Linked DNA regions of Anolis sagrei. The protein of the gene in region 2 purifies or fractionates together with the protein of the main gene of each other region. This does not show direct contact. Links are inferred from orthologs where the notes say so. Each region holds a gene or a part of one and is shown on either strand. Other genes may lie near its edges.

Region 1 (16,418 bases), on a different chromosome or scaffold from region 2:
CATAGTGAAGCCATTGAAATCCACAAGTATGTGGACAATTTCAACAGAAAGGACAAAACCATGAAAATAAACAAAATCTGGCTACCAGTATTAAAAATCAGGACAGTAAAGAAAGAACTTCAACAACCCATCTAGACTGCTTTTTTCGTCAATTGGTTTCCTACTCTTGTTAAATCCAAGGTCCAATTTAAACTTCATTGCATTGCTGAACCTCTTCAGCAATGTCTTGCAAGACTTTCTAATCTGCTTCAGAACTAACTTGTGGCCCTCCCTCTGCTTACCATAATGATGCTGGACTCATCCATAAGCTCAGAGATTTGCATGCCACTTCGATACCCCCAAGACCTCCTGTCAATAGAGCTGCACATCTCCCACTTGTGGCTGGGCAAAGTCCCGGGCTTGTATTTGTCTTGACAGTTATAGTAGCCTCCGTGATGACAGGAACAATTGAAGCCCCATCGATCGTTCACCACCACGGTGTCCTACCAAGACAGATCCAAGAGAAGAGTTGAAGCGACATTTGTGGCATAAGGAGGGAAGGAATGTGGGGCTGCCTTCATTGGTGCTCAAAACAAACCAGAGCTTAATGCTTCTGTAGACACAGTACCCTATTTATTTTTCACTATTCAGCAGGCCTACCCAGTCAATTTTAAACCATGTATTTTAAATTGCCATTCTGTTATTGTTATATTTTACTCTTTGTTTCATCTATTTTATTATGTGTCTTTTATAGAAATGTGTTTTAATATACGTAATTTATTGTATGTATTCAGTGATTATTTTAACTGTGTTGTGCCCTGCCTCGGGCTTTTGAGGAAAGGCAGATAACAAAGAAATCATTATCATCCTCTGGGTAAGAAAACATGGAAAGACAGTAATATAGGATCCTAGAAAGTATTACACACGCCCAGTTCCGTTTATCACTTTACTCCACCTTAAGCTCAATGAAAAGTATCAAAGCTCTTTATGACTATCCGGCAGGCCTACCCAATTAGTTTAACTATGAATTTAAAAGTCATGTCTTGTGTTTAATCTTTGTTCTGTGTACTTTAAAATATGTTTTTCATAGAAATATATTTAATACGTGTATTTTATATAATGTTTTACGATGATGTGTTTCTAGCTATGTTGTGCCCCGCCTTGAGCCATGAGAGGCGGGTAAGAAATAAAATTATTATTAAAGGTAAAGATTTCCCCTTGACATTAAGTCTGACCCTGGAGGGGTGATGCTCATCTCCATTTCTAAGCCAAAGAACCAGTGTTGTCCATAGACATCTCCAAGGCCATGTGGCTGGCATGACTGCATGGAGCATCGTTACCTTCCAGCTGAAGCGGTACCTATTGATCTACTCACATTTGAATGTTTTCGAACTGCTAGGTTGGAAGAAGCTGGGGCTAACAGTGGGAGCTCACCCTGCTCCCTGGATTCAAACCACCGATCTTGCAGTCAGCAAGTTCAGCAGCTCAGCAGTTTATTATCATCCCTAAAATTCCCAATGTCTCAGTAGCGAAGGGGTTCATAGCACTAGTCACATCCTCTGAAGGCCTGCTATTTATGCCATTTTTCCAACATGACCTTCATGTTTAAGCACATGCATAGTCTGAGGTTTTGTGGGAACAGCAGACCCCCCCCCTCCCCCCTCCCCCCTCAAGTGTTGCTGACCCAAAAATACTAGCAATCCTACCCGGCACATCCAATGGGGAGAGAAATGATGCGAGTAACATTCAGCACCATCTGGACATGCAATTCCCACTCTTGCTCAAAGGTTTAGAAATGTGTAGAAAACAGGAATTATGGAGTTATATACTCTTGCTATTTCTGTTCTCAGACTTGGAGATGGCAATCACAAGTAATACATATTTCTATTTCCTGCACTTTGTTACAATACTTAAAGTGGAGTTTGTATAGTGCTCTCACCGTTAGCTACATGAACTGAGCCTCCATCAAGAAAAACCTAACAGGTCTCACTAAAGAGGTGACAGATACATTTTGGACACTCTGAAGAACCACAAAGGCTTTCATGGGCCAAAATATCTAAAGAGCCACTCTAAAGTCTTAATCTCAAATGCAAGCAAGTAGGAAAAACTTGGCTGGGTTTTCAACATTCATTAACTGCCCCAGTTCAAAGCAAATTCAGATACCTTGACTGGACTATCGTTGTAAAGCCAGGCAAGGAAATTAGTTGAGTTCCAGTATGTATCTGGAGCTTCCCATTCTCCATCAGACCAGATGAGATCCGGCTTGTACCTTTAGATGCAGATTAACAAAACCAGAAAATTTACCAATACAATTGTGTCCTAGTTCCTGCTCATTCTGTTGAGATGTGCTAATAGTGACTGGTCTGATTATACTGTTGTAAAACAAAGTGGACAATTTCAGCAGGGCGGGGAAACTTCACATTCTAAGGACTAGACATATCTTGCTAGCTAAATCTGGTGGCATAACATTAAAGATAATAAACCTTTCCTCTTAAAACCAAGCACATGAAGAGTTTATGCTGTTTTCTGAATAGAGTGTTATGCTTTAGAGAAGGGCTTCTTAAACATTTTTCATTCGTGATCCCTTTTGCCCAAGATATTTTTACATGACCTGGGTATATAGGTAAATATGTTTTCTATCTCAAAAACTAGAGCTGATATGGAGAAACTGGCATATACCCAGAAATAGACCCAGAAACAGGACTGACATTTGAGACACCAAAATGTGTGTTGGCTAGTGTAATAAATCAGCATTTGCAAGGCTTGCTATATAGGCCGATTTTCCTTTTTATGGAATATAGTTGAAGCATTTTCTGCAAAGTCCCACTGTAACTAACAGATTTGTGTAAATATCTAGGTAGCATTCAGAAACCTTTTACTACTGCCAAATTTTTGTGATCCCAACTCTGAGCTCAGAGGACCTCATTTGGGGCCAGGATCCTGAGTTTAATAAGCAGTGCTTCAGAGAATTCGATTATTCTTCAAAGCCAGGTACATCTTTCTCATGCACTTGGTTTCAGAGAACAAATAAAAATGTGTTGTTACTCCTAGACCACAATACAGTGACATAACCACACACAGCCTGCATGTTGGTCACCTTTGTTACAAATTTGCTAGTAAAACAAGCCTGTCTTTGCCTCCATCTATGCAGTGGGGTGTTGGGTCTGTGCATCTTGGCAGCCGAGGCACTTAGCAGGTATAGGCCAGTATTAGAGCACCTACAGAACAGAGCTATAGACAGAAGCACAGGATTGTCCCTGGTCTCGCAGATTCTAAGCAGATGTACTTGGCCTTGTTGCACGCAACAGGGTTCACTTCTGATGAAATACATCTAGGAGTCTCTTTCACACTACATAAGCAATTAAAGCACTTGGCTCCACTTCAATTCCTATGGAATCCTGGAATTTGCCGTTTCATGAGGTCTTTAGAATTTTCAGCAAGAGAGCTCTAGCCTTTCACCAAACTACAAGTAACAAAATTTCATAGAAGGGCTTCTGGAAGTTACAGTCTAACACACTTAGAGGGAACCACGTCTAGATAGTATAGGCTAATCTAGGTTTTTCTGATGATGTCTTGCTCTTACCTTAAAACAAGGTCAAAAAGCTCTGGCATAGTCTTCTCAGAGACAAAATACTGTGTCTTGAATTCATTATTTTTGTCCATCAAATAGAGTGGATGAAACCATTCATAGAGGGAGTGGTACAGCCCATAATGTATGTTCCTAAAGATTAGAACAAAAGATCCGCAAGTGATCAGAAAGCTCCTAAGCCCAACCTCTCCACCCCAACCTTTGAACCCACATCCATACCTTTTTCGGAGGGCATCTCCCAGTTCTCCCACCAAGTCTCTATGGGGCCCTGTATCTACCGAGTTCCAGTTCCAAGACACGGGGGAACCCCAGTTGGTGAAGCCTTCGTGATGCTTTGTGGTCAGCACCACATATCTTTAGGCAAAGGAAGATAACAAGTCAGGAAGGAAGAGAACTCAGAGTAAATATACCCACATTTAAGAGATAGCAAAGAAAAAGACAAAGCTTCATCTGCCTTTTAAAACTGTACCATCGGCAGATCAAATTCAGGAAGATACTCCTTACTCTGTCTTAATACATCCGAAGTGCACCCCACCTCTGGGGTTTGGTTACAGGATCCAAGATCCGTGGATGTTCATGTGATCATATACAAATTGTTTACTAAATTGCTGTCTCTTATATAAAATGGCAAGATCAAGGTGGGCTTTTTGGAAATTTTTCAAGTTGCAGCTCATTGAAACTGCGGGTGCAGAATCCTGGGATACAGATGTCTGGCCGTATACTCGTCTATGTATATGTATTTACATGACTCTATTTCACCATTAATTGTAATGCACACCCCAATTTTGAGGTGCACATGACCAAAAATGGATTTGCCAGAGAAGCAAGGAGAAGTGGCACCCTTCTGCCAAGTAGAGGCTGGATAATTTGCCAGTCTTGACTTGGTGGAGAGGGGCAGCACTTATCCTTAGCCTCCCAGCTGAAATAGGCGGAAGGTGGCTTGGGAAGAAGGGAGGGGGATTCCCTTCTCCTTAGCTTCCCAGATTGGAGGCTAAGGACAACAGGACTTGGAAAGGGGTGAGGTGGGAGAAGCGGCACCCCCATCAAACTGGCTGGCGAACTAGGATTGGAAGAGGAGGTGTGGCTTCCTAGCTGGCTTTATTCAGGGTCTGAATGGAGGAAGTTGGGAAGCCATCAGGCGGAGGCTGCCGAGTTCAGTAGCCTCAGCCTGATGGAAAAGCATAGGCATATTTGGGCACATGATTCGAATGTGCCATCAAATGTAAAGTGCATGTCCATTTTGGCTAAGCAATTATACTTCAAAACAGTGGTTCTCAACCTGTTTTGGCCTACAACTCCCAGAAATCCCAGCTAGTTTACCAGCTATTAGGATTTCTGGGAGTTGAAGGCCAAAACATCTGGGGACCCACAGGTTGAGAACCACTGCCTTAAAAGATGTGCATTATATTCGAGTAAATATGGCATATTATGCAGTCTTGTTTGCTGCAATGTTGGAGGATGGGTATCAGCAATACATGTATTAAAAGTAATACTTAAAGGGTTTAACAAATAATAAGCAGAGAGATCTTCAGCCTTCTCTGTCAAAGGGCTTCCTAAGGCCATCAGAAATATGTGTTTTCTAATGGTCTTTGGTTACCCCTCTGAAATCCCCCTCAAGACCCCCAGGTTGAGAAGCACCGGTCTATAGTCTATACGTGGGGCTGCCCTTGAAGACGGCCCGGAAATTCCAACTGGTCCAACGAGCAGCAGCCAGACTACTAACTGGTGTGAATTACAGGTAGCGGTATACCCCCTTGTTTATTTTCCGGTCCCAATTCAAGGTGCAGGTACTTACCTACAAAGCCCTGAAAGGTTTGGGACCTGCCTAACTTTGTGACTGCATTTCCTTTTATGAACCTACACGACCCCTTCGATCTTCCAGAGAGGCCCTTCTCGCGCTCCCACCTCCATCGCAAGTGCGACTTGTGGGGACGAGGGAGAGGGCTTCCTCGGCTCTGGAATTCACTCCCCAGAGAAATTAGGCAAGCCCCCATCCTGGCAGTCTTTAGGAAGAGCTTGAAAACTTGGCTGTTCCAGTGTGCCTTCAAGGAATGATGAACTGAACTATAACCCCTGACCTGACCAAACCTTGCAAAATAATGTCCTCGGAAGCACTTTGTTTTCTACCTACTAGTGCATTTAAACCCTACTTTCGTCCCTCCGATCCCCTGTCCAGATACAATACATTGCCTTCTCATCCAGTGTTTTTAAACTTTTTAATCCTTGCTATCGGCCTTGCCCACTGTGATTTATTTTCTGTGTTTAATTATTGTGATTTTACATTGCTTGATGTTTATTTAGTTTCTTGTATTTTATTTTTTATTTTTATATTTTACTGTTGTTGTAGGTTGTTTATTTGCATTGCTGTATTGCTGGACTTGGCCTCGTGTAAGCCACCCCAAGTCCCCTTGGGGAGATGGTGGCGGGGTATAAATAAAGTTTAATAATAATAATATAGTTTCCTGTATTGTTGAAGGCTTTCATGGCAGAATCACTGGGTTGTTGTAGGTTTTTTCAGGCTATATGGCCATGGTCTAGAGGCATTCTCTCCTGACGTTTCGCCTGCATCTATAGCAAGCATCCTCAGAGGTAGTGAGGTCTGTTGGAACTAGGAAAAAGGGTTTATATAACTGTGGAATGACCAGGGTGGGACCAAAGGACTCTTGTCTGCTGGAGCTAGGTGTGAATGTTTCAACTGACCACCTTGATTAGCATATAATGGCCTGGCAGTGCCTGGAGCAAACTTTTGTTGAGAGGTGATTAGATGTCCTTGTTTGCTTCCTCTCTGTTGTTGTGCTGTTTTAATTTTAGAGTTTTTTTAATACTGATAGCCAGATTTTGTTCATTTTCATGGTTTCCTCCTTTCTGTTGAAATTGTCCACATGCTTGTGGATTTCAATGGCTTCTCCGTGTAGTCTGACATGGTGGTTGTGAGAGTGGTCCAGCATTTCTGTGTTCTCAAATAAAATGCTGTGTCCAGGTTGGTTCATCAGGTGCTCTGCTACTGCTGATTTCTCTGGCTGAAGTAGTCTGCAGTGCCTTTCATGTTCCCTGATTCGTGTTTGGGCAAAGCTGTGTTTGGAGGTCCCTATGTAGACTTGTCCACAGCTGCATGGTATACGGTAGACTCCTGCAGAAGTGATTGCCCCAGGCACTGCCAGGCCATCAAATGCTAATGAAGGTGGTCAGTTGAAACATTCACACCTAGCTCCAGTAGACAAGAGTCCTTTGTCCCACCCTGGTCATTCCACAGATATCTAAACCCTCAAGATTATTAAGATCGTCTGGAGAGGCCCTGCTCTCAGTCCCACCGGCCTCGCAAGCGCGTCTGGTGGGGACGAGGGACAGGGCCTTCTCGGTGGTGGCCCCTCGACTCTGGAACTCTCTTCCACTGGAGATCAGAACCGCCCTGTCTATCCTGACATTTAGGAAACAGGTGAAGACTTGGTTATGGAGACAGGCATTCGACGAGTGAGCCAGATATGGATGGAGGATGATGAATGAGTTAGTGTGACGACTGACCACTGTAGTTATTGAATGTAATTGCTGTTTTAATGTTTTAGTGTAAAATGAATTATTATGTTTTTATTAACTGTATGTGATATTATGGTTGGAAACCGGTCTGAGTCCCTCAAGAGAGGTGAGAAGGCCGGTATATAAAACTTTTAAATAAATAAATAAATACATAAATAATATTTTTCCCCTAGTTTCAACAGACCTCACAACCTCTGAGGATGCTTGCCATAGATGCAGGCGAAACGTCAGGAGAGAATGCCTCTAGACCATGGCCATATAGCCCGAAAAAACCTACAACAACCCAATATAGTTTCCCTTTTTGAGAACCTTTTTATACGCAGCAAGGTTTCTGCTATAACCGAAATTATGTCCACATTACAATGTTTCCGACCTGGCGCCGGCCTGCTGGAAGAGCTGGGCCCAGGCCTCGGGCAGGAAGTCCTGGGCGGTGAAGAGGGGCGCGAAGTCGGCGTAGCTGGTGCCCGGCGGGAAGCGGGCCTTGACGAAGCGCTCGTACTCGGGCCGCCCCTCGCCCCGCCAGTGCCACCAGAACCACTCCGAGCCCCAGGCCGGCACCGAGAAGACGCCCCAGTGCACGAAGACGCCCACCTTCGCCGCGTCGAACCAGCCGGGCAGCGGCCTCGAGTCCAGGCTGGCCCAGTCCGGCGTGTAACGCTGAGGAGATGCCGCCGCGACGGAGAGAAGAGCAACAAACACCGCCCAGGCCGCCATCTTGGATTCCCTCAGAGAGGAACTCGCTTCCGCCATGCGCATTGGCCCGCCGAATCACGTGAGGCAGCCTTCAGGAGACGTCTCGACCAATGGCCAGCCACCTCAGCAGAGTCACGTGCCGACCAATAGTAGCCCCACTCGGCGGAGTCACGTGAGGGGGCATGGCAGCCAGCTGCAAAACTCATAGAATCAAAGAGTTGGAGAGACCTCATGGGCCATCCAGTCCAACCCCGTGCCAAGAAGCAGGAATATTGCATTCAAATAACCCCTGACAGATGGCCATCCAGCCTCTGTTTAAAAACCTCCAAAGAAGGAGCCTCCACCACACTCCAGGGCAGAGAGTTCCACTGCTGAAGGGCTCTCACAGTCAGGAAGTTCTTCCTCATGTTCAGATGGAATCTATAGAATCAAAGAGTTGGAAGAGACCTCATGGGCCATCCAGTCCAACCCCCTGCAAAGAAGCAGGAATATTGCATTCAAAGCACCCATGACAGATGGCCATCTAGCCTCTATTTAAAAACCTCCAAAGAAGGAGCCTCCACCACACTCCAGGGCAGAGAGTTCCACTGCTGAACGGCTCTCACAGTCAAGAAGAGCTTCCTCATGTTCAGATGGAATCTATAGAATCAAAGAGTTGGAAGAGACCTCATGGGCCATCCAGTCCAACCCCCTGCCAAGAAGCAGGAATATTGCATTCAAAGCACCCCCGAAAGATGGCCATCCAGCCTCTGTTGAAAAACCTCCAAAGAAGGAGCCTCCACCACACTCCGGGGCAGAGAGTTCCACTGGTGAACGGCTCTCACAGTCAGGAAGTTCTTCCTCATGTTCAGATGGAATCTCCTCTCTTGTAGTTTCATGGCCGGAATAACTGGGTTGTTGTGAGTTTTCCGGGCTGTATGGCCGTGTTCCAGAAGCATTCTCTCCTGATGTTTCACCTGCATCTCTGGCAGGCATCCTCAGAGGTTGTGAGGTCTGTGTATTGTCGAAGGCTTTCATGGCTGGGATCACTGGTTTTCGGGCTATATGGCCATGGTCTAGAGCAGGGGTCCTCAAACTTTGGCCCGAGGGCTGGATACGGCCCTCCAAGGTCATTTACCCGCCCCTCGCTCAGGTTCAATCTAAGTCTGAAATGACTTGAAAGCACACAACAACAACAATCCTATCTCATCAGCCAAAAGCAGGCCCACACTTCTCATTGAAATACTAATATGTTTATATTTGTTAAAATTGTTCTTCATTTTAATTATTGTATTTTAAGTGTTTTGCACTAGAAATAAGATATGTGCAGTGTGCATAGGAATTCATATATATTTTTCAAATTATAATCCGGCCCTCCAACAGTTTGAGGGACTGTGACCTGGTCCTCTGTTTAAAAAGTTTGAGGACCCCTGGTTTAGAGGCATTCTCTCCTGACGTTTCGCCTGCATTTATGGCAAGCATCCTCAGAGGTAGTGAGAGCTCCGTTGGAAACTAGAAAATGAGGCTTATATATCTGGGTGGGAGAAAGAACTCTTGTTTGCTTGAGGTAGATGAAAGGAAGGCTTTCCCAGAGAGGTGAGGCGAACAAAATTCAAGCAGGCTCTCAGTGACTTTTGTGATTTAATTGGGAAATAAAGTTGCTAGACTAAACTGGACTATTGCAATGCGCTCTACGTGGGGCTGCCTTTGAAAACAGCCCGGAAATTTCAACTGGTGTAACGGGCGGCAGCTAGGCTCCTTACTGGAGCAAACTATAGGGAGCATACAACACTCCTAATAAAACAGCTTCATTGGCTGCCGATAAGTTGCCGAGCCAAATTCAAGGTGCTGGTCATGAATTATAAAGCCCTAAAAAACAGTTCAGGCCCCACCTATCTCCGTGATTGCATCTCCTTCTATGAACCGGCACAAACTCTAAGATCTTCCAGGGAGGCCCTCCTCTCGGTCTACCTCCGTCACAAGCACGGTTGGTGGGGACGAGAGAGAGGGCCTTCTCGGTGGTGGCCCCTCGCCTCTGGAATGCCCTTCCAAGGGAAATAAGACAGGCCCCATCCCTCCCCTCCTTTTGTAAGAACTTGAAAACCTGGTGGTTTCAACAAGCCTTTGTAAATGACAAGCTCTAACTCAGTCTTACACATTGTCGAATACGGCCAATTACCCAGATCACTTCCTCTAATCAGCCCCGGAATGAACAGCCACAGACCCGTACCTAATATTATTGTTGCCTGCTATAGCATTGCACTTAATTTCCGGGGCCCCTAGAATTTTTGGGCTTACACAAATCTCGGCTTGGCCTTGTAAATTTTTTAATTGCCTTGAACAGGCAGGATTACTTTCAATATATGTGTGTTATGGTGACAATTTTTATGCATATATTGTTTGGTTAATCTTATGGTTATGTTGTTTTACTTTGTATGTTTTGTGATGTTACCTAGGAACCGCTCTGAGTCCCCTCGGGGAGATAGAGCGATATATACGTTTTATTATTATTATTATTATTATTATTATTATTATTATTATTATAGAGTAAAAACTAGACTTTTAATATTTAGGTGCTTCTAGTGAAGTAACGCCTGAAATCCCTCTTTTAATAAATAACTATTAAGGATATGGGAACTGCCTCCAGTTTTCAGTCTGACAACCTTATTAGGAAACATACTGCAAGTCTGGGCTGCTGTGAGTTTTTATAGTAATAATAATAATACTTAATTCTTTAACCCGCTCTCTCTCCCATGAAGGGACTGAGGACGCCTTCCAAAGACCAAAATGGCAAGCATTCAATGCCGTGTGCAATGATAAAATCAAAATAAAACAGAAACAAGGAAAGAGCTAAAAGTAAACAATTAAAAATAAGCCAATAAAACAACCTAGGCTAAAACATGTAGTTGATCAACCTCATAAATAACACAACAGGCTGATAAAAGCTGTATAAAATATACAAATATTAAAACGTGTCTTTCCACTAAGTAATATAATCACAGCACCACCCAAGCTGTATGACCTTGTTCCAGAAACATTCTCTCCTGACATTTCGCCCACATCTATGGCAGGCATCCTCAGAGGTTGTGAGGTAAGTAGGCAAACCGCTCCGAGCCTTCGGGGAGTGGCGGTATATAAAATTGATAAATAAATAAATAAAATAAGTGAGGTTTATATATCTGTGGAATTATGTCCAGGGTGGGAAAAAGAACTCTTGTCTGCTTGAGGCAAGTGTGAGTTCTTTCTCCTACTCTGGACATTAGTCCACAGATATATAAATCCCACTTGCGTAGTTTCCAATAGACCTCACAACCTCTCAGGATGCCTGCCATAGATGTGGGTGAAACGTTAGGAGAGAATGCTACTGGAACATGGCCATACAGCCCAGAAAACTCACAGCAACCCAGTGAAAGCTGCTTCTGGGGTACCTTCTTACAGCAACACTAGAATGTCTATTGTATATGTGTGTGTGTGTGTGTGTGTGTGTGTGTGTGTATACACACACACACACACACATACATATCATATTTATTGTATTGTGTTACATGTCCCCACCTCTGGAACTCCCTCCCGGAGTAACAGAAGGTCTCTTATTGTTTTTTGAAAGAGAGCAAGGACCTTCTTATGATCGCAAGCATATAGAGAGGACGATATATAAGATATTTGACAAAAACAAAATGGAATGGAATATGGAAATAGCTGTTACTCTAGCTCAGGGGTCCACAAACTATGGCCCGGGGGCCGGATATGGCCCTCCAAGGTCATTTACCTGGCCCTCGCTCAGGGTCAGCCTGAGTCTGAAACGACTTGAAAGCACACGACAACAATAACAACAATCCTATCTCATCAGCCAAAAGCTGACGAGCACCGGAGCCCCCGGTGGTGCAGTGGGTTAAACCCCTGTGCTGGCAGGACTGAAAACCGACAGGTCGCAGGTTCGAATCCGGGGAGAGGCGGATGAGCTCCCTCTATCAGCTCCAGCTCCTCATGCGGGGACATGAGAGAAGCCTCCCACAAGGATGATAAAAACATCAAATCATCTGGGCGTCCCCTGGGCAACGTCCTTGCAGACAGCCAATTCTCTCACACCAGAAGTGACTTGCAGTTTCTCAAAGTTGCTCCTGAGACACACAAAAAAAGCCAAAAGCAGGCCCACACTTCCCATTGAAATACTAATTTGTTAAACTTGTTCTTCATTTTAATTATTGTATTGTTTTTAAGTGGTTTTTGAACTACAAATAAGATGTGTGCATAGGAATTCATTCATTTTTTTTCAAATTATAATCCGGCCCTCCAACAGTTTGAGGGACTGTGACCTTGCCCTCTGTTTAAAAAGTTTGAGGACCCCTGCTCTAGCTTTTCAATTTGAATGCTTTATAAAACTTTTATTCATGTCAATTTTAAGGCTGGCTTTTAAATAGTTTATTAGTTAAAATGTAATTTTTTAGTTGTGTGATGTCTAATTTGTTGCAATGATTTATCATTGCTCAATGTCGATGTTTAATGTTCTATTATGTATTTGTTTTATGGTAATTTATCTGTTTGTTGTTTACATTTTACAGTACTAAATGTAAACAGGTTGTTAACTGCCCTGAGTCCCCACTGGGGAGATAGGGGGGATAGAAATAGTTATTATTATTATTATTATTATTATTTGTTATATTATATATTTTGATTTTATTTATTTTAAATTAATTACAATGGTTTTTTTTAGTTGTAACCTTTGGAAAACTCAATTAAAATGGGGAAAGGAGAGGAATAGGTATGATGACTATTTAAACAAACCCTCAACCCAATAAAATCAAAACTGTCAAGAGGGAGTTTCAATAGCTTGCAGAGCAACCCCTGTATTCAAGGGGGTCATGATGGGGAACTTAGAACCCCATAGTATAAACACAGTTGTAAATGAAAGCAAATTAATAAGGAGTAAATATTATAAATGGAAAAGGAAAGGGGAAAAAAAAAACCAAGACAGAGGTCCTCTTGGTCAGTCGAAAGGCCGAAGAGGGTGTAGGGTTACAGCCTGTGCTGGATGGGGTTACACTACCCCTGAAGTCACAGGATCGCAGCTTGGGAGTCCTTCTGGATTCATTGTTGAGCTTGGAAACCCAGATTTCGGCGGTGGCCAGGGGGGCTTTTTCACAATTAAAACTTGTGCGCCAGCTGTGCCCGTACCTTGGGAAATCTGACTTGGCCACAGTGGTCCAAGTTCTGGTTATATCCTGTATAGATTACTGCAATACGCTCTACGTGGAGTTGCCTTTGAAGACTGTTCAAAAGCTTCAACTGGTCCAATGAGTGGCAGCCAGGTTGCTCACCTGAGTGGTGTTCAGGAAGCACACAATTCCTCTGTTATGTCAGCTCCACTGGCTGCCAGTCTGCTACCGAGCGTAATTCAGAGTGCTGGCTTTATCCTATAAAGCCCTAAACAGTTCTGGCCCAGTCTACCTGTCCGAATGTATCTCCCCCTACAAACCGGCTCGGAGACTAAGATCATCTGGGATGGCCTGCTCTTGGTTCCACCTTCTTTGCAAGTGTGGCTGGTGGGAACAAGAGACAGGGCCTTCTCAGTGGTGGCCCCTTGATAGTGGAACTCTCTCCCTAATAACATCAGATCAGCCCCTCCCTCCCAGCCTTCAGAAGAAGAGTAAAAACCTGGTTCTGGGAGCAGGCTTTCACAAAATAGAGTAGTGCAGTAATTTTAATGTGGAATATGTGCAATTGATCATAGAACGGCCTTAGACTTTGATCCCTTGATGGTGTGTTTCAACCTTGAATCTATTTTAATCATGTTATTGTGTTAGTAATTTTAATCTAAATTATTTTGTGAATATTGTATGTTTTGAGGTGCCATTTGTAAGCCGCCTTGAGTCCCCCTTGGGGTAGAGAAAGGTGGGATATAAATAAGGTAAATAAATAAATATTCCCATCTGTTCTTCATAATTTATTGTGATATCATATGCAGGAAGAGACGCCTTTGCCCAGATAAATCCAAAGTATCAGGAGGTGATTGCATTACTTAGAAAAGACAGAGGGAAGGAAATACAAAAGCTATTTAGTCCAGTCCCCACCATCCAGGAATGTATAACAGTTTAAAAAAAAAATCAAAGACATAGCCATGTTAATCTGAATATCGGTGTGGAAAGGGATTTTGCAGTACTTTAGGTTTATACTGCCATATAATGCACCTTAAACTGCATTATTGGGCAGTCTAGATCAAGCCTATGACACTGAGAGAAAAATGTTTATAGCGTTAGCATTCATTGACTAAGGCTAGTTCTTCACTGCAGAATTGATGCAGTCTTGCCCCATTTTATCTTCTGTGGCTATGGAATTATGGAAGCTGGAGTTTGGTGAGGCTCCAGCATTCCTTCAGAGAAAGTTAAAGACCCAGTAAAGCTACAACTCCCATGATTCTAGAGCAGGCATGTTCAAACTTTGGCCTTCATGGTGTTTTGGACTTCAACTCCCACAATTCCTAACAGCCTCAGACCCGGAAGGGACCTGAGGCTGTTAGGAATTGTGGAAGTTGAAGTCCAAAACACTGGGAAAGTATTGAGCCATATTTTTTAAAAAAAGATGACGGGGAAGGAGGCAAAGGAAGAAATCCGAAACTACAACTCAATATCCCCTCAGCAGAGCATGAATATACATATGTGAAGATAAGGTACACCAGTACTATGCAACCCTTATGCAAAATAGCAATATTGCACAACATCAATCAATTACTAAGTGCTTTTGTGCACTGTGAAATGGCAATCTGCAATGCGCAATGACACTGAACGGCATTGCCTTATGTACTACCCTGCTTCCATTCCTGTTAGCAGCATATGTTTAAAATTCATTCCATGTCTATATTGTGACTACATGGACGTTTTTCTACCAAGATGCCACCCAGCCATTGTTTTTCCTGGAATCTCCCAGCAGCACCAGTTTGCCATTTTAAAAAGTTTGCAGGGTGCTTCTGAAGGTTCAACATCAAATACTGTAGTACCATTTTATCCAAACCAGAAATTGACTTCTGGCCACTTTCAAAGTATTTCCTCCTCCGTATTCTGGCATTTCTACAATCCATGCAGAGTGTCCGGAGCAACTTCATCTCCAGTTCCACCAGATCGGTAGTAAATATGCTTGGAAGTCTTTTCAAATGGGAAGAGAAAACATCCATTTCTACAATGCTTCCATTTTGTCACCTTCTGAAGCTTGGGTCTTTGTGGAACTGCCGACAAATCTGTCCCCTATGTTTTCGAACGGCAAGGTCTTCTGAGTGCTTTCTGCATCAGGATTGCTATCTGAGATGTCAGTTTTTCTTCTGAAATTGGTGCAAACTTTCCTCAGAGCAGAGCTCAACTCCCTGCTTCGTAGGGCATAGATGGCCGGGTTCACCATGGAGTTGACCAGGCAGAGGGTGCTGCAGAAGGCAAACACTCTCTTCAGGGAGGTATCCATTTTGGCAAAGATGCTGTACGTCATGAGAGCCATGGCAGGGGTCCAGCAGGTGACAAGGACAAGCAGGACAATGGCTAAGGTCTTGGCCAACTTAATGTCTAGCCTCATCTTGCTTTTGGTTTGGCCGTTGGGTCTGTGATGCTTCTCCATGTATGCAACATGTTGCCGGGCTTTCCATAAGACATGTCCGTAGGCATAGATGATGGATACCAGAAGGACCGCCACAAAGCTTGCCCAGCTCAGAAGGTAATTGTTGTCCACAAAAGGAAAGAGCTCGGAGCAAGGAGAGTTGAGTCTGCAGCAGTTCCATCCAAAGAGAGGTAAGGAGGCAAGGAACGCAATGGAGAGCCACAGGACTACCAAAGCCACCAGGGCTCTTTTACTAGTCACCAGGACCTTGTATGTCGAGGGTTTGAGGATACAGATGTATCGATCAAAAGCCATCAGCAAAAGGCTGCCGAGGGAAGCTGTGAAGGTGGTGTTGACGCCTCCTAGCTTGAGTAAAAAGACCACCATGGAGTCGGCCCCTCTGAAAATGTGAAACTGGAGGAAGCTCCAGACGAAGATGAAGCTGGCCAAGGTGTCAGCCAAGGCGAGGCTGCCAAGGAAAAGGTAAGAAGGCTTCCTGTGGATCTTTGGGGAAGAAAAGATGAGGTAGAGTACCAAGGTATTTTCCAATACGCAGAGGGTTCCGGCAGTGCAACACAATGTGGCGATGAGGGCCTGTGATGTGTTGTTGAGCACCAGGTAGCACTCCATAGGCACTATGTTGGAGTGGCATCTCAAGATGTCCCCCGCCGATGTGTTCACCTTGCATTGCTCCATCGTGGTGGACTTAGGCCGTCTTTGGAAAGAGGTTGGCAGTCTTGGCTACAGAGTGATGGGAACTGGAGGAATTTAAATATATATTAATGAGGACAATGTGCAGTACTGAGTATCAATACAATCATATGCTGTACTCCCTTCCAACCCAATCCATCATACCCTTCAACTATTGTCATTTGGCATGGACTGTCCTGACTAATCCTCTGTCATTCCAATTTCTCAGTTGCTTTGAAAATGTTTGTTTTTTTTCCTCCTCACATTTCCCCCCTTAGTTCTTGGTTCATGTCAGTTCAAATCTAAATGTAGCCAATTCACTCTTCAGGGAAGGAAGAATGGCTGCCACTTTTTCTCTTTCCATCCTTGCTGACAG
Region 2 (16,029 bases):
TGTCCAATTCTGGGCACCACAATTCAAGAGAGATATTGACAAGCTGGAATGTGTCCAGAGGAGGGCAACTAAAATGATCAAGGGTCTGGAGAACAAGCCCTATGAGGAGCGGCTTAAGGAGCTGGGCATGTTTAACCTGAAGAAGAGAAGGCTGAAAGGAGATATGATAGCCATGTATAAATATGTGAGAGGAAGCCACAGGGAGGAGGGAGCAAGCTTGTTTTCTGCTTCCTTGGAGACTAGGACGCGGAACAATGGCTTCAAACTACAAGAGAGGAGATTCCATCTGAACATTAGGAAGAACTTCCTGACTGTGAGAGCCGTTCAGCAGTGGAACTCTCTGCCCCGGAGTGTGGTGGAGGCTCCTTCTTTGGAAGCTTTTAAGCAGAGGCTGGATGGCCATTTGTCAGGGGTGATTTGAATGCAATATTCCTGCTTCTTGGCAGAATGGGGTTGGACTGGATGGCCCATGAGGTCTCTTCCAACTCTTTGATTCTATGATTCTACAACTCCAAATTTCAAGGTCAATGTCCACCAAACCCTTCCAGTATTTTCTGTTGGTCGTGGTAGTTCTGTGTGCCAAGTTTGGTTCAATTCCATCATTGGTGGAGTTCAGCATGCCCTTTGATTGTAGGTTAACTATAAAGTTTGGTCCAGATCCATCATTGTTTGAATCCACAGTGCTCTCTGGATGTAGGTAAACTACAACTCCAAAATTCAAGGTCAATGCCCACCAAACCCTTCCAGTATTTTCTGTTGGTCATGGGAGTTCTGTGTGCCAAGTTTGGTTCAATTCCATCATTGGTGGAGTTCAGAACACTCTTTGATTATAGGTGAACTATAAATCCCAGGAACGACAACTCCCTAATGACAGTAGCAATATGACAGTGATGAAGTATCAACGAAAATAATGTTATGGTTGGGGGTCACCATGCTCCTTGATTGTAGGTTAACTATAAATCCCAGGAACTGCAAATCTCAAATGACAAAATCAATCCTTCCAACCCCACCAGTATTAGAATTTGGGCATATTGGATATTTGTGCCAAATTTGGTCCAGTAACTGAAAATACTTCCTGCATATCAGATATTTACCTGACAATTGCAGGTGAACTATAAATCCCATCAACTACAACTCCCAAGTGACAAAATCAATCCTCCCCACAATACCACCACTAGTCAAATTTGGGTGTATCATGTGCCAAATCTAGTCCTGTGAATCAAAACACATTCTGTATATCATATATTTACATGCCGATTCATAACAGTAGCAAATACTGTTATGAAACAGTGTGATGGTTGGGGGTCACCACAACATGAGGAACTGTATTAAGGGGTCGCAGCATTCAGAAGATTGAGAAACACTGCTTTAAACTATTCTGATGGGAAAGGTTTTTCTTTCCATGTAAAAAATGACAGAGAAGCAAGGCAAACCAAGGCAACCACGACTGCCTGGAGGCAATGGAATAGAAACAGTTAACAAAAAAAAGTGGTGGCAATCCTATGCTTCTCCCATCATAGAGCTGCAGAGATGGGGGGTGGGGAGAGGAGGGGAGAATCCTCTCTGCCTAACTAGAGTCCCTTTTCCTTGCAACTCTTAAAGGAACAGGACCCTTTTGCCTTCCCATGCATGCTGTTTTGGGATTGTTTTTCAATGAGCTCTGTTCCAGTTTCTGCCTTTCGACAACAGGACGTGGTGAGAACATTTCAACACATCATTCTATGGCTATGACAGGGGAGAAAAATAAAAGGGAAGAGGAAGAGACAAAAGCTCCCTCTACTATTGTGTCCCTGTGAGAACTGGATTTTGAAAAATTTGGAAATAAGGATTGGTGATAAAGCTTCAGTGGAGACCCCCACCATAACACTGCACAACCTCTGAGGATGCCTGCCACAGATGCAGGCGAAACATCAAAAGAGAATGCTTCTAGAACATGGCCATACAGACCGGAAAACCTACAACAACCCACTGCATAACTTATTGTATATCTTCTGAGCTGACTTTCTGGAGTGAATTTCCCTTCAGAGGAGTAGATTTCTCTGAGGCCCCTCCTAGACAGGACCTATATAGAACCATAGAATCAAAGAGTTGGGAGAGACCTCATGGGCCATCCAGTCCAAGCCCCTGCCAAGAAACAGGAATATTGCATATCCCAGGATCTGATTCAAGGGGGCCACGCTGTGGCGCAATGGGTGCCAGCTGGACTGCTGACCTGAAAGTTGGGTTGCAACCTGGGTTCGAATACATGAGGCCGGGTGAGCTCCCATCTGTCAGCTCTAGCTTGCAAGGATATGAGAGAATCTTCGAATCATAGAGTTGGAAGAGACCTCATGGGCCATCCAGTCCAACCCCCTCCCAAGAAGCAGGAATATTGCATTCAAAGCACACCTGACAGATGGCCATCTAGCCTCTGTTTAAAAACCTCCAAAGGAGGAGCCTCCACCACACTCCAGGGCAGAGAGTTCCACTGCTGAACAGCTCTCACAGTCATGGGCCATCCAGTCCAACCCCATTCTGCCAAGAAGCAGGAATATTGTATTCAAAGCACCCCTGACAGATGGTCATCTAGCCTCTGTTTAAAAACCTCCAAAGAAGGAGCCCCCACCACACTCCAGGGCAGAGAGTTCCACTGCTGAACAGCTCTCACAGTCATGGGCCATCCAGTCCAACCCCATTCTGCCAAGAAGCAGGAATATTGCATTTAAAGCTCCCGTGACAGATGGCCATCTAGCCTCTGTTTAAAAACCTCCAAAGAAGGAGTCTCCACCACACTCCGGGGCAGAGAGTTCCACTGCTGTACAGCTCTCACAGTCATGGGCCATCCAGTCCAACCCCATTATGCCAAGAAGCAGGAATATTGCATTTAAAGCTCCCCTGACAGATGGCCATCTAGCCTCTGTTTAAAAACCTCCAAAGAATGAGCCTCCACCACACTCCAGGGCAGAGAGTTCCACTGCTGAACAGCTCTCACAGTCATGGGCCATCCGGTCCAACCCCATTCTGCCAAGAAGCAGGAATATTGCATTCAAAGCACCCCTGACAGATGGCCATCTAGCCTCTGTTTAAAAACCTCCAAAGAAGGAGCCTCCACCACACTCCAGGGCAGAGAGTTCCACTGCTGAACGGCTCTCACAGTCAGGAAGTTCTTCCTCATGTTCAGATGGAATATCCTTTCTTGTAGTTTGAAGCCATTGTTTCGCGTCCTAGTCTCCAGGGAAGCAGAAAACAAGCTTGCTCCCTCCTCCCTGTGACTTCCTCTCACATATTTATACATGGGTATCATATCTCCTCTCAGCCTTCTCTTCTTCAGGCTAAACATGCCCAGCTTCTTAAGCCGCTCCTCATAGGGCTTGTTCTCCAGACCTTTTATCATTTTAGTCGCTCTCCTCTGGACACATTCCAGCTTGTCAATATCTCTCTTGAATTGTGGTGCCCAGAATTGGACACAATATTCCAGGTGTGGTCTAACCAAAGCAGAATAGAGCATGGGGAGCATTACTTCCCTAGATCTAGACACTATGCTCCTCTTGATGCAGGCCAAAATCCCATTGGCTTTTTTTGCCGCCACATCACATTGTTGGCTCAACTTGTGGATCAACAGTCCTGCTGGCACAAGAGTTTAACCCAGGGGTCCTCAAACTATGGCCCAGGGGCCGGATACGGCCCTCCAAGGTAATTTACCCAGCCCTCGCTCAGGGTCAACCTAAGTCTGAAACAACTTGAAAACACATTTAATAATGCTATCTCATCAGCTAAAAGCAGGCCCACACTTCCCATTGAAATACTAATAAGCTCTAAAAAAAAAAAAAAAGGTACCATGATACCATGCAATTTTCTGAATCAGTACACCAAATAACCAACCCGAATCTAACATTGACTAAAAACGGATTCGTAGCCCTTTTGGTACTAATGTTGGAGAGTGGCCCTTGGTTAAAATGGTCCTTAGTCAAAAAATGCTTGAGAAACACTGATATCTATATAAATAAAAATGTAGTGTTAGTTTGTGGGATTAACATAATTCAAAAACGGCTGGACGAATTGCGCCCAAATTTGGCCACAAGACACCTACTAACCCAAGGAGTGACCATTACTAAAAAAAAATGAGTTTGTCATTTGGGAGTTGTAGTGGCTGGGATTTATAGTTCATCTACAAAGAGCATTCTGAACTCCACCAATGATGGAATTGAATCAAACATGGCACACAGGACTCCCATTTTTTATTTTTGTCGTGTCAAGAGCAAGTCGCTTCTGGTGTGAGAGAATTGGCCATCTGCAAGGACGTTGCCCAAGGGACGCCTGGATGATTTGATGTTTTTATCATCCTTGTGGGAGGCTTCTCTCATGTCCCCGCATGAGGAGCTGGAGCTGATACAGGGAGCTCATCCGCCTCTCCCTGGATTCGAACCTGCGACCTGTTGGTCTTCAGTCCTGCCGGCACAGGGGTTTGACCCACTGCGCCACCGGGGGCTCCTAAGACTCCCATGACCAACAGAAAACATGAGAAGGGTTTGGTGGGCATTGACCTTGAGTTTGGGAGTTGTAGTACACCTCCATCCAGAGAGCACTGTGGACTCAAACAAGCATGGTTCTGGACCACACTCGGCACAAATACTCCATATGCACAACTAGGAACACAAATGGAGCTTGGGGGAAATAAACCTTGACATTGGGAGTTGTAGTTACTGGGATTTATAGTTCACCTACAACCAAAGAGCAGTCTGAATCACATGAACGATAGAATTGGGGCAAATTTCCTACACAACACCTCTATAACCAATAGAACAGTGGTTCTCAACCTGGGTTCCCCAGATGTTTTTGGTCTACAACTCCCAGAAATCTCAGCCAGTTTACCAGCTGTTAGGATTTCTGGGATTTGAAGGCTAAAAACATCTGGGGAGCCCAGGTTGAGAACCACTGCAATAGAAAATACTTAATGCCATCCAGTCCAACTCCCTTCACTAGGGCAAGAAAACGTAACCAAATAGTGTTTACCCACAAGCAGAAAGAAATTACATATATTAGAAACCAGCACTTTCTCATTACTTTATTTTCCACAGCAACGCCTTGCAGGGAATGGCTAGTAATATAATATATAGATTTGGATGGAGTGACACTTTTAAAATGTAAAGAAATTACATATATTAGAAACCAGCACTTTCTCGTTACTTTATTTTCCACAGCAACGCCTGGCAGGGAATGGCTAATAATCTATATAAATAAAAATGTAATGTTCCTTTGTGGGATTAACAGAACTCAAAAACCACTGGATGAATTGACACCAAATCTGGACACAAGACACCTAACAACCCAATGTATGTCCTTCACTCAAAAAAATTGATTTTGTCATTTGGGAGTTGTAGTTGCTGGGATTTAGAGTTCGCCTGCAATCACAAAGAGCATTCTGAACCCCACCAATGATGGAATTGAACCAAACTTGGCACACAGTTCTCCCATGACCAACAGAAAATACTGGAAGGGTTTGGTGGGCAGTGTCCTTTGGTTTTGGAGTTGTAGTTCACCCACATCCAGAGAGTACTGTGGACTCAAACAATGTTGGATCTGGACCAAACTCTACATGAATACTCAATATGCCCAAATGTGAACACTGGTGGAGTTTGAGGAAAATAGAATCTTGACATTCGGGAGTTGTGGTTGCTGGGATTTATAGTTCACCTACAACCACAGAACATTCTGAATCCCACCAACGATAGAATTGGGCCAAACCTCCCACACAGAACCCCCATGTCGGCCACAGCAACGCGTGGCAGGGGACGGCTTGTAAAATGAAATAAAAATAAAGTAATAAAATAATAAATAACCTTAACTCGAGTATAAGCCAAGGGGGGCTTTTTCAGCCTAAAACAGGGCTGAAAATCTCGGCTTATACTTGAGTATACACAGAACCCCCATGTTGGCCACAGCAACGCGTGGCAGGGGGCGACTAGTATAATATATAGATTTGGATGGAGTTACACTTTTAAAATGTACCCACAAGCATAAAGAAATGACATATATTAGAAACCAACACTTTCTCATTACTTTATTTTCCAGATCACCAGACTGGGCCACAGCAACGCCTGGCAGGGAATGGCTAGTAATATAATATATACATTTGGATGGAGTGACACTTTTAAAATATAAAGAAATAATAATAATAATTATTATTATTATTAAACTTTATTTGTACCCCGCTAGCATCTCCCGAAGGACTCGATGCGGCTTACAAAGGCCAAGGCCTCAACACACAATATAACAATACAAAACGTAAGGCAAATTAAAAACAATTAAAGCAATACAAACAACAAGCAATAAACAATACACTAAGACACAATAAAACTGGGCCGGGCCAGAGTAATGGGTACAGGATTAAAAGTGCTGATGTGACAGGTGGAATATAAGGCTTATAGGGCAAGTGCAGTGTGCGATGTGCAGCAATCTTATGGGACTTGGTATTGGAGATTTCCTAATCTGGGAAGGCACATCGGAACAGCCAGGTCTTCAAGTTCTTTCTAAAGACTGCCAGTGTAGGGGCCTGTCTAAGATCTTTGGGGAGGGCGTTCCAGAGTCGGGGGGCCACCACAGAAAAGGCCCTGTCTCGTGTCCCCACCAACTGCGCTTGTGAAGCAGGCGGGATCACGAGCAGGGCCTCTCCAGATGACTGAAGTGCACGTGTGGGTTCATAGACGGAGATGCGGTCACGCAGGTAGGATGGTCCCAAACCGTTCAGGGCTTTGTAGATAAGCGCCTGCACCTTATTTTGGGCTCGGAAAATAAACGGCAGCCAGTGGAGCTCCTTGAACAGGAGGGTTGACCTCTCTCTGTAAGGGGCCCCAGTTAACATCCTGGCTGCTGCTCGTTGGACCAGTTGGAACTTCCGAGCCGTTTTCAAGGGCAGCCCCACGTAGAGCGCATTGCAGTAGTCCAATCTGGAGGTGGCCAAGGCATGGACCACCCCGGCCAGAAATTACATATATTAGAAACCAACACTTTCTCATTACTTTATTTTCCACAGCAACGCCTGGCAGGGAATGGGTAGTAATATAATATATACATTTGGATGGAGTGATACTTTTAAACTGTAAAGAAATGACATATATTAGAAACCAGCACTTTCTCATTACTTTATTTTCCACAGCAACGCCTGGCAGGGAATGGCAAGTAATATAATATATAGATTTGGATGGAGTGACACTTTTTAAAATGTAGAGAAATGACATATATTAGAAACCAGCACTTTCTCGTTACTTTATTTTCCAGGGAATGACTAGTAATATAATATATACATTTGGATGGAGTGACACTTTTAAAATGTACCTGTTCTGACTTCCATAGGTGTTCAACTTAAGAGCAAGGCTACAGACCCGGTCTCGTTCGTAACTCGGGGACTGCCAGTCCTGCCTTTGGGGGCCTAGAAGAGGCCCCTCGTGGATACTCTTTCTCTCTGCTTACCTGCTCGGTGTTCTCCGTCAAGGTGGGCAAGGGGCTCCGTCCGCTGTTGGACATGGCTGCCTGTGGCAGGGCCTGAGGGGCGGTGGCCCCCCCAGCTGCTGCTGCCTCCTTCCTCTTTCCTGCTTTCTGGCCCAAAGGGAAGGAGCCTGGTCCCTCTTCTTCTTCCTCCTCAAGGCGAGGGGGGAGGCCAAGCCACCAGCATGGGGAACAACCAGGCTCGGTTGGAAAAACACCAGTGTAAGAGTTCCCCCCTTCCCCGGGCTCGAGTGAAGGATGCCCGGCTTGACGTTTCACGCGAGGCCGGGGATGCGGCTCGGGAGCTAGGCCGCACCGGTCCGAAAGCTCCCAACGGAGGGACCCTGTCAACCAAAGTCAATGCCGGGCTGCTGCGAACAACTCCGACGCCCGCCTTGGCCTCCCAGGCCGGGCACGGACTTCCCCTTCCCTTCGCCGCCCCGGTGCCCGAGCTCCACTCACCGCCGCTCTGCTTCACACAGCGGCGGCTCCCAACATGGCCGCCGCCGCCGGGCTTCGGGAAGTTCCGCCGACTTTCCGGAAACGCACGATCCAGGCGGGAAAAGTCCCACGGTGTACGGAAAGAGCCGAAAAGGGATGGACAAAGTTGATTGGTCCACGAAAGGCAGGCGGGGGCGTGGCCAAAGCTTTGGCACTGAAAGAGGGCAACTTCGAGAAAACCTTCCCCAAGCGGTTCGGAAAGGAGGCGGAAATAGCCGAACAGGTTTCGGCTCGCATAATACGGAAATAGCCGAGCGAGTGTACGGAAACAACCGAATGAGTACTATCGAAACTGCCTTCTGGTCCATGAACCTGGGATGCAGGAAACAGGCAGGGATCCTCCGCCCCCTTGTGGCCAGTGACTGACACTGCAGGCGCACAATACGGAAATAGCCGAGCGAGTTGAGCTCAGAGTGTACGGAAACAACCGAATGAATCCTATTGAAGCTGCAGGAAACAGCTTGCCCCCTGGTGGCCAGAAACCGACACTGCAGGAAGGACCAAAACAATAATAATAATAATAATAATAATAATAATAATAATAATAATAATAATAATAATAATAATAATAATAAGGACTGCAATCATAGAATCAAAGAGTTGGAAGAGACCTCATGGGCCATCCAGTCCAACCCCATTCTGTCAAAAAGCAGGAATATTGCATTCAAAGCACCCCCGGCAGATGGCCATCCAGCCTCTGTTTAAAAACTTCCAAAGAAGGAGCCTCCACCACACTCCGGGGCAGAGAGTTCCACTGCTGAACGGCTCTCACAGTCATGGGCCGTCCAGTCCAACCCCATTCTGTCAAAAAGCAGGAATATTGCATTCAAATCACCCCCGACAGATGGCCATCCAGCCTCTGTTTAAAAGCTTCCAAAGAAGGAGCCTCCACCACACTCCGGGGCAGAGAGTTCCACTGCTGAACCCCTATCACAGTCAGGAAGTTCTTTCTCATGTTCAGATGGGATTTCCCATCCAGATAGGCCCAAAATGGGGTTGAAATAGGATCCAATGGGATTTCTAATCCACATAGGAGCAAAACTGGACTCTAATAGGACTGAAATTAGATTTATATCCCAGGTAGAACCAAAATGGGGCTCTAATAGGACTAAAATGGGGTTTCCAATCCAGATATTACCAAACTGGGGCTCTGAAATGGGATTTCTGATCCACAAAGGGCCAAAAATGGGGCCCTCATAGGACTAAGATGTGATTTCTAAACCAAATAGAACCATTTATTATTATTATTATTATTATTATCATCATCATCATCATTATTATTATATGCTTTCTATTATAAGATTTTTTAAATGTTTATTATAATTTTTACATTGTTTTAATGACATCACATGTTGTAAAGCCATCTAGAGTCCCCTTTCGAGTGGAGAAAGTCGAGGTAGAAATGGTGTAAATAAATAAATATTTAGTAGTACTAGCATTTTAATGTATTAGTATTATTTAGATGAGAGACAGGGCCTTCTCAGTGGTGGCCCCTCAGCTGTGGAACTCCCTGCTCAAGGATATTAGATCAGCCCCCTCCCTCCTGGCCTTTTAGAAAAGATCGAAGACCTGACTTTTTGAGAAAGCATTTGGAACTTCAGTGTAAATTCAAATAGGTATATAAACATGGAATGGCTAAGACAATGTAAACAGATGAGAATAGAACCGGAAGATATTGGTTTTATAGATTTATATAGTTTTTATTGCTTTTATGGTTTTATATGTATTTATGATGTAATTTAATTGCTTTTAACTGATATATGTATATATATATATATATATATATATATATACACGTGGCATCTAATTGTGCTGGTTCTATATATTTTTATTATTTATTTTGTTATTTTGATTTATTTATTTATCTTTAAAATTATTTATTATTATAATTAGATTTTTATTTATTTCTATTTCTATTTATTTTATTTATTCTATTATTTATTTATCTTTATCATTTTTATTATTATAATCAGATTTTTATTTATTTCTATTTCTTTTTATTTCTATTATTTATTTTATTATTTTTATTTATTTATCTTTATCATTGTTTACTTTTATTTTATTATTTTTATTTATTTATCTTTATCATTATTTATTATTACAATTAGATTTTTATTTATTTCTATTTCTATTTATTTTATTTATTCTATTATTTATTTATTTATCTTTATCATTTTTATTATTATAATTAGATTTTTATTTATTTCTATTCCTTTTTCTTTTTATTATTTATTTTATTATTTTTATTTATTTATCTTTATCTGTTTATTTTTATTATTTATTTTACTGTTTTCATTTATTTTTTATCTTTATCATTTATTATTATAACCAGATTTTTATTTATTTCTATTTCTATTGATTTTTATTATTTATGATCCTTTGCTGGAGATTATTATAATTAGATTTTCATTTATTTCTATTTCTATTTATTTTATTTATTCTATTATTTATTTATTTATCTTTATCATTATTTATTATTATAATGAGATTTTTAATTATTTCTATTTCTATTGATTTTTATTATTTGTTTTATTATTTTTATTTATTTATCTTAATCATTATTTATTTTTATTATTTATTTATCTTTCTTTATCTTTATAATTATTTATTATAATAATTAGATTTTTATTTATTTATCTTTATAATTATTTATTATTATAATTAGATTTTTTATTTATTTCTATTTATTTTTATTATTTATTTTATTATTTTTATTTATCTTTAACATTATTATTATCAGATTTTTATTTATTTCTATTTCTATTTATTCTTTATTTATCTTTATTTATTTATTTATTTATCTTTATAATTGTTTATTATTATAATTAGATTTTTATTTATTTCTATTTCTATTTATTTTATTATCTTCATTTATTTCTGTTTCTATTTATTATTTATTTTATTACTTTTATTTATTTATCTTTATCATTATTTATTTTATTTTTTATTTTACTATTTTATTTTTTCATTTTTCATTTTTTTATTATTATTATTTTATTTAAAACTGGACTCTAATAGAACTGAAATGGGAATTATAATCCAGATAAACCCAAATGGGGCACTAATCTAATATTATTAATAGATTAATTGTTATTATTAATAATAGATTAATCTATTATTAGAGGAATAGGACAACTGACCTCATCATCCCCAATGAGCTTCTGCATTGCCCTAATGACTGGTCCCTTTGCCTCCCTCCAGTGGACACACTGAATATTACACCCTCTCGATCTCTCCCTTAGAGTTGCCTTTTGCCCAAGGCTCTGCAGATCCAATGTACGGTCCTTTGCTGCCATCGCGTGGCCGAAGTGGAATATTGCACCCTTTTAGTACAGCCGGCTGCAGAGTTCTGTGTAAGACATAGGCTCTTACTCTTTGCTGCCATCCTGTGGTCACTGTTGAACATTACATACTGAAATAGCATTTTATCTTGTTGTTTTTGTTGTTGTTGTTGTTATTATTATTATTATTATTATTATTATTATTATTATTATTATTATTATTATTATTGCTACTACTCTAGCACAATGAACTCCATCAACAACGGACTGGAAAATTATCAGAATGAGATGCATACTTTTCTAATTCTATAGATGCTGACCACTGTGTGCACCATTAAGAGGCTGGATGGCCATCTGTTGGGAGGGCTTTGATTGTGCTTTATATGCATGGCAGAAAAAGAGGTCAGACTGAATGGGCTTTGGGGGTCCCTTCCAACTCTAGGAGTCTATGAGCCTGGATGGCTATCTGTCAGGAGGGCTTTCATTGTGCAGAAAAAGGGGTTGGATTGGATGGCCTTTGGGGGTGCCTTACAACTCTAGGACTCAATGAGGCTGGGTGGTCATCTGTCAGGAGGGCTTCAATGGTGTTTTTCCTGCACTGCAGAAAAAGGGGTCAGACAGGGTGGCCTTTGGGGATCCTAACTCTAGGATTTCTATGAGGCTGGATGGCCATCTATTGGGAGGTCTTTCATTCTGCTTTTCCTGCATGACAGAAAAAGGGGTTGGACTGGATGGCCTTTGGGGGTCCCTCCCAACTCTAGAATTCTATGAGGCTGGGTGGCCATCTGTCGATAGGGCTTTCATTGTGCTTTATATGCATGGCAGAAAAAGGAATTGGACTGTATGGCCTTTGGGGATCCCTTCCAACTCAATGGCCATCTGTTGGGAGGGCATTGGTGGTGCTTTTCCTGCACAGTAGAAAAAAGAGGTCAGACTGGATGGCCTTTGGGGGTCCCTTCCAACTTTAAAACCCTATTAGGCTGGATGGCCATCTGTTGGGAGGGCTTTGATGGTGCTTTCTCTGCATGGCAGGAAAAGGGGTTGGACTGGATGGCCTTTGGGGATCCCTTCCAACTCTAGGATTATAGAGGACTCCTAGTTTGTGACCGTACAATAAAATTCATTGCAATTCATTATAAGGCTGGATGGTCATCTGCCGGGAGGGCTTTGATGGTGCTTTTCCTGCATTGCAGAAAAAGGGGTTGGACTGGATGGCCTTTGAGGGTCCCTCCAAACTCTAGGATTCTATGAGGGTGGATGGCCATCTGTCAGGAGGGCTTTGATGGTGCTTTCCCTACATGGCAGGAAAAGGGGTTAAGGAGCCTCCACCACACTCCGGGGCAGAGAGTTCCACTGCTGAACGGCTCTCACAGTCAGGAAGTTCTTCCTCATGTTCAGATGGAATCTCCTCTCTTGTAGTTTGAAGCCATTGTTCCGCGCCCTAGTCTCCAGGGAAGCAGAAAACAAGCTTGCTCCCTCCTTCTTATGACTTCCTCTCACATGGTTATTATATCTCCTCTCAGCCTTCTCTTCTTCAGGCTAAACATGCCCAGCTCCTTAAGCCACTCCTCATAGGGCTTGTTCTCCAGACCCTTGATCATTTGAGTCGCCCTCCTCTGGACACATTCCACCTTGTCAATGTCTCCCTTGAATTGTGGTGCCCAGAATTGGACACAATATTCCAGATGTGGTCTAACCAAAGCAGAATAGGGCATGGGGAGCATGACTTCCCTAGATCTGGACACTGCTCCTATTGATGCAGGCCAAAATCCCATTGGCTTTTTTTGCCGCCGCATCACATGGTTGGCTCATGTCCACGAGGACTCCAAGATCTTTTTCACACGTACTGCTCTCGAGCCAGGCATTGTCCCCCATTCGGTCTCTTTGCATTTCGTTTTTCCTGCCAAAGTGGAGTATCTTGCATTTGTCCCTGTTGAACTTCATTGTGTTAGTTTTGGCCAATCATCTCTTTAATCTGTCAAGATCGTTTTGAATCCTGCTCCTGTCCTCTGGAGTATTGGCTCTCCCTCCCAATTTGGTGTCCTCTGCAAACTTGATGATCATGCCTTCTCACCCTTCATCTAAGCCTGGCAGAATAGGTTCAAACTGGATGGCCTTTAAATTAGATTTTTATCGAACAGTACCAATGACCTCACAACCTCTGAGGATGCTTGCCATAGATGCAGGCGAAACGTCAGGAGAAATGCCTCTAGAACATGGCTCTATAGCCCGAAAAAACCCACAAGAACCTAGTACCAATTTCTTTGATGATGATGATGATGATGATAGAGTCTCCTTCCCTGGAGATGTCATAGCAGAGGCTGGCTGGCCATCTCTCGGGAGCGCTTTAATGGTGTCTTCCTATCTGGCCAGCACAGCCTTAGAACCAGTCCAGCTCTTAAAATTTCTATAATAATAATAATGATGATGATGATGAGTGAGTCTCCTTCCCTGGCGATGTTCAAGCAGAGGCTGGCTGGCCATCTCTGAAGAGGGCTTTGATGGTGTCTTCCTATCTGGCCAGCACTGCCTTAGGACCAGTCAAACTCTTGAGATTTCTATAATAATAATAATAATAATAATAATAATAATAATGAGGGAGTCTCTTTTCCTGGAGATGTTAAGGCAGAGGCTGGCTGGCCATCTCTCAGGAGGGCTTTGACGGTGTCTTAGGACCAGTCCAACTCTTAAGATTTCTATAATAATGATGACGATGATAATAATGATAATGGTAATAATAATGTTGTTGAGGGAGTCTCTTTCCCTGGAGATGTTAAAGCAGAGGCTGGCCATCTCTCAGGAGGGCTTTGATGGTGTCTTCCTATCTGGCCAGCACTGCCTTAGGACCAGTCCAACTCTTGAGATTTCAATAATAATAATAATAATAATAATGAGAGAGTCTCTTTCCCTGGAGATGTTAAAGCAGAGGCTGGCTGTCCATCTCTCAGGAGGGCTTTGATGGTGTCTTAGGAGCAGTCCAACTCTCTTTCTATAATAATAATAATGAGAGAGTCTCCTTCCCTGGAGATGTTAAAGCAGAGGCTGGCCATCTCTCAGGAGGGTTTTGATGGTGTCTTCCTATCTGGCCACAGCACTGCCTTAGGACCAGTCCAGCTCTTAAGATTTCTATAATAATAATAATATAATAGAGAATAATAGAGAAGACAATTATGCTGGGGAAAGTGGAAGGCAAAAGGAAGAGGGGCTGACCAAGGAGAAGATGGATGGCATCCCTGAAGTGACTGGACTGACCTTGAAGGAGCTGGGGGTGGTGACGGCTGACAGGGTGCTCTGGCGTGGGCTGGTCCATGAGGTCACAAAGAGTCGGAGACGACTGAACGAATGAACAAAATAATAATAATGAGGGAGTCTCTTTCCCTGGAGATGTTAAAGCAGAGGCTGACTGGCCATCTCTCAGGAGGGCTTTGATGGTATCTTAGGACCAGCGCAACTCTTAATATTTCTATAATAATAATGACAATGATAATAATGATAATGGTAATGGTGTGTTGAGGCCTCAGCCTGTGTAAGCTGCATCGAATCCATCGGGAGATGCTAGCGGGGTACAAATAAAGTTTAATAATAATAATAATAATAATAATAATAATAATGTTGATGAGGGAGTCTCTTTCCCTGGAGATGTTAAAGCAGGGGCTGGCCATTTCTCAGGAGGGCTTTGATGGTGTCTTCCTATCTGGCCAGCACTGCCTTAGGACCAGTCCAACTCTTAAGATTTCTATAATAATAATAATAATAATTATTATTATTATAGCAGCAGCAAGAACGAGGGAGCATAGCACAATATTAGTATAATAATAATAATAATAATAATAATGAGGGAGTCTATTTCCCTGGAGATGTTAAAGCAGGGGCTGGCTGGCCATCTCTTTGATGGCTTTGATGGTGTCTTCCTATCTGGCCAGCACTGCCTTAGGACCAGTCCAGCTCTTAAGATTTCTATAATAATAATAATAATAATAATAATAATAATAATAATAATGAGGGAGTCTCTTTCCTTGGAGATATTAAAGCAGAAGCTGGCTGGCCATCTCTCAGGAGGGCTTTGATGGTGTCCTAGGACCAATCCAACTCTTACGATTTCAATAATAATAATGAGGGAGTCTCCTTCCCTGGAGATGATAAAGCAGAGGCTGGCTGGCCATCTCTCAGGAGTGCTTTGATGGTGTCTTAGGACCAGTCCAACTCTTAAGATTTCTATAATAATGATGATGATGATGACGACGACAATGATATTAATGATAATGATAATAATAATGAGAGAGTCTCCTTCCCTGGAGATGTTAAAGCAGAGGCTGGCCATCTCTCAGGAGGGCTTTGATGGTGTCTTCCTATCTGGCCAGTACTGCCTTAGGACCAGTCCAACTCTTAAGATTTCTATAATAATAATAATAATAATAATAATAATGAGGGAGTCTCTTTCCTTGAAAATATTAAAGCAGAAGCTGGCTGGCCATCTCTCAGGAGGGCTTTGATGGTGTCTTCCTATCTGGCCAGTACTGCCTTAGGACCAGTCCAACTCTTAAGATTTCTATAATAATAATAATAATAATAATAATAATAATGAGGGAGTCTCTTTTCCAGGAGCTGTTAAAGCAGAGGCTGGCCATCTCTCAGGAGGGCTTTGATGGTGTCTTCCTATCTGGCCAGCACTTTCTTAGGACCAGTCCAACTCTTAAGATTTCTATAATAATAATAATAATAATAATAAGGGAGTCTCTTTCCCTGGAGATGTTAAAGCAGAGGCTGGCTGGCCATCTCTCAG

What was found.
Region 1: the proteins of MARK2 (region 2) and FUCA1 purify together in Homo sapiens (affinity purification with mass spectrometry; 3 studies listed by BioGRID and IntAct, counting the BioPlex papers as one, with this or other methods). This does not show direct contact. The link is inferred for Anolis sagrei from reciprocal best matches to the Homo sapiens genes MARK2 and FUCA1.

What each region holds. Positions count from the first base shown.
Region 1 is NC_090034.1:79,870,213-79,886,630, forward strand, and holds the start of FUCA1 (tissue alpha-L-fucosidase), read right to left. Parts: upstream 7,863-16,418; 5' UTR 7,859-7,862; coding exon 7,476-7,858; intron 3,923-7,475; coding exon 3,788-3,922; intron 3,701-3,787; coding exon 3,563-3,700; intron 2,249-3,562; coding exon 2,143-2,248; intron 483-2,142; coding exon 282-482; intron 1-281. Other genes in the region: CNR2 (cannabinoid receptor 2), read right to left, coding at 14,945-16,048. UniProt on the Homo sapiens protein: Alpha-L-fucosidase is responsible for hydrolyzing the alpha-1,6-linked fucose joined to the reducing-end N-acetylglucosamine of the carbohydrate moieties of glycoproteins.
Region 2 is NC_090032.1:14,864,084-14,880,112, reverse strand, and holds the start of MARK2 (serine/threonine-protein kinase MARK2), read right to left. Parts: upstream 8,001-16,029; 5' UTR 7,504-8,000; coding exon 7,450-7,503; intron 1-7,449. UniProt on the Homo sapiens protein: Serine/threonine-protein kinase. Involved in cell polarity and microtubule dynamics regulation. Phosphorylates CRTC2/TORC2, DCX, HDAC7, KIF13B, MAP2, MAP4 and RAB11FIP2. Phosphorylates the microtubule-associated protein MAPT/TAU.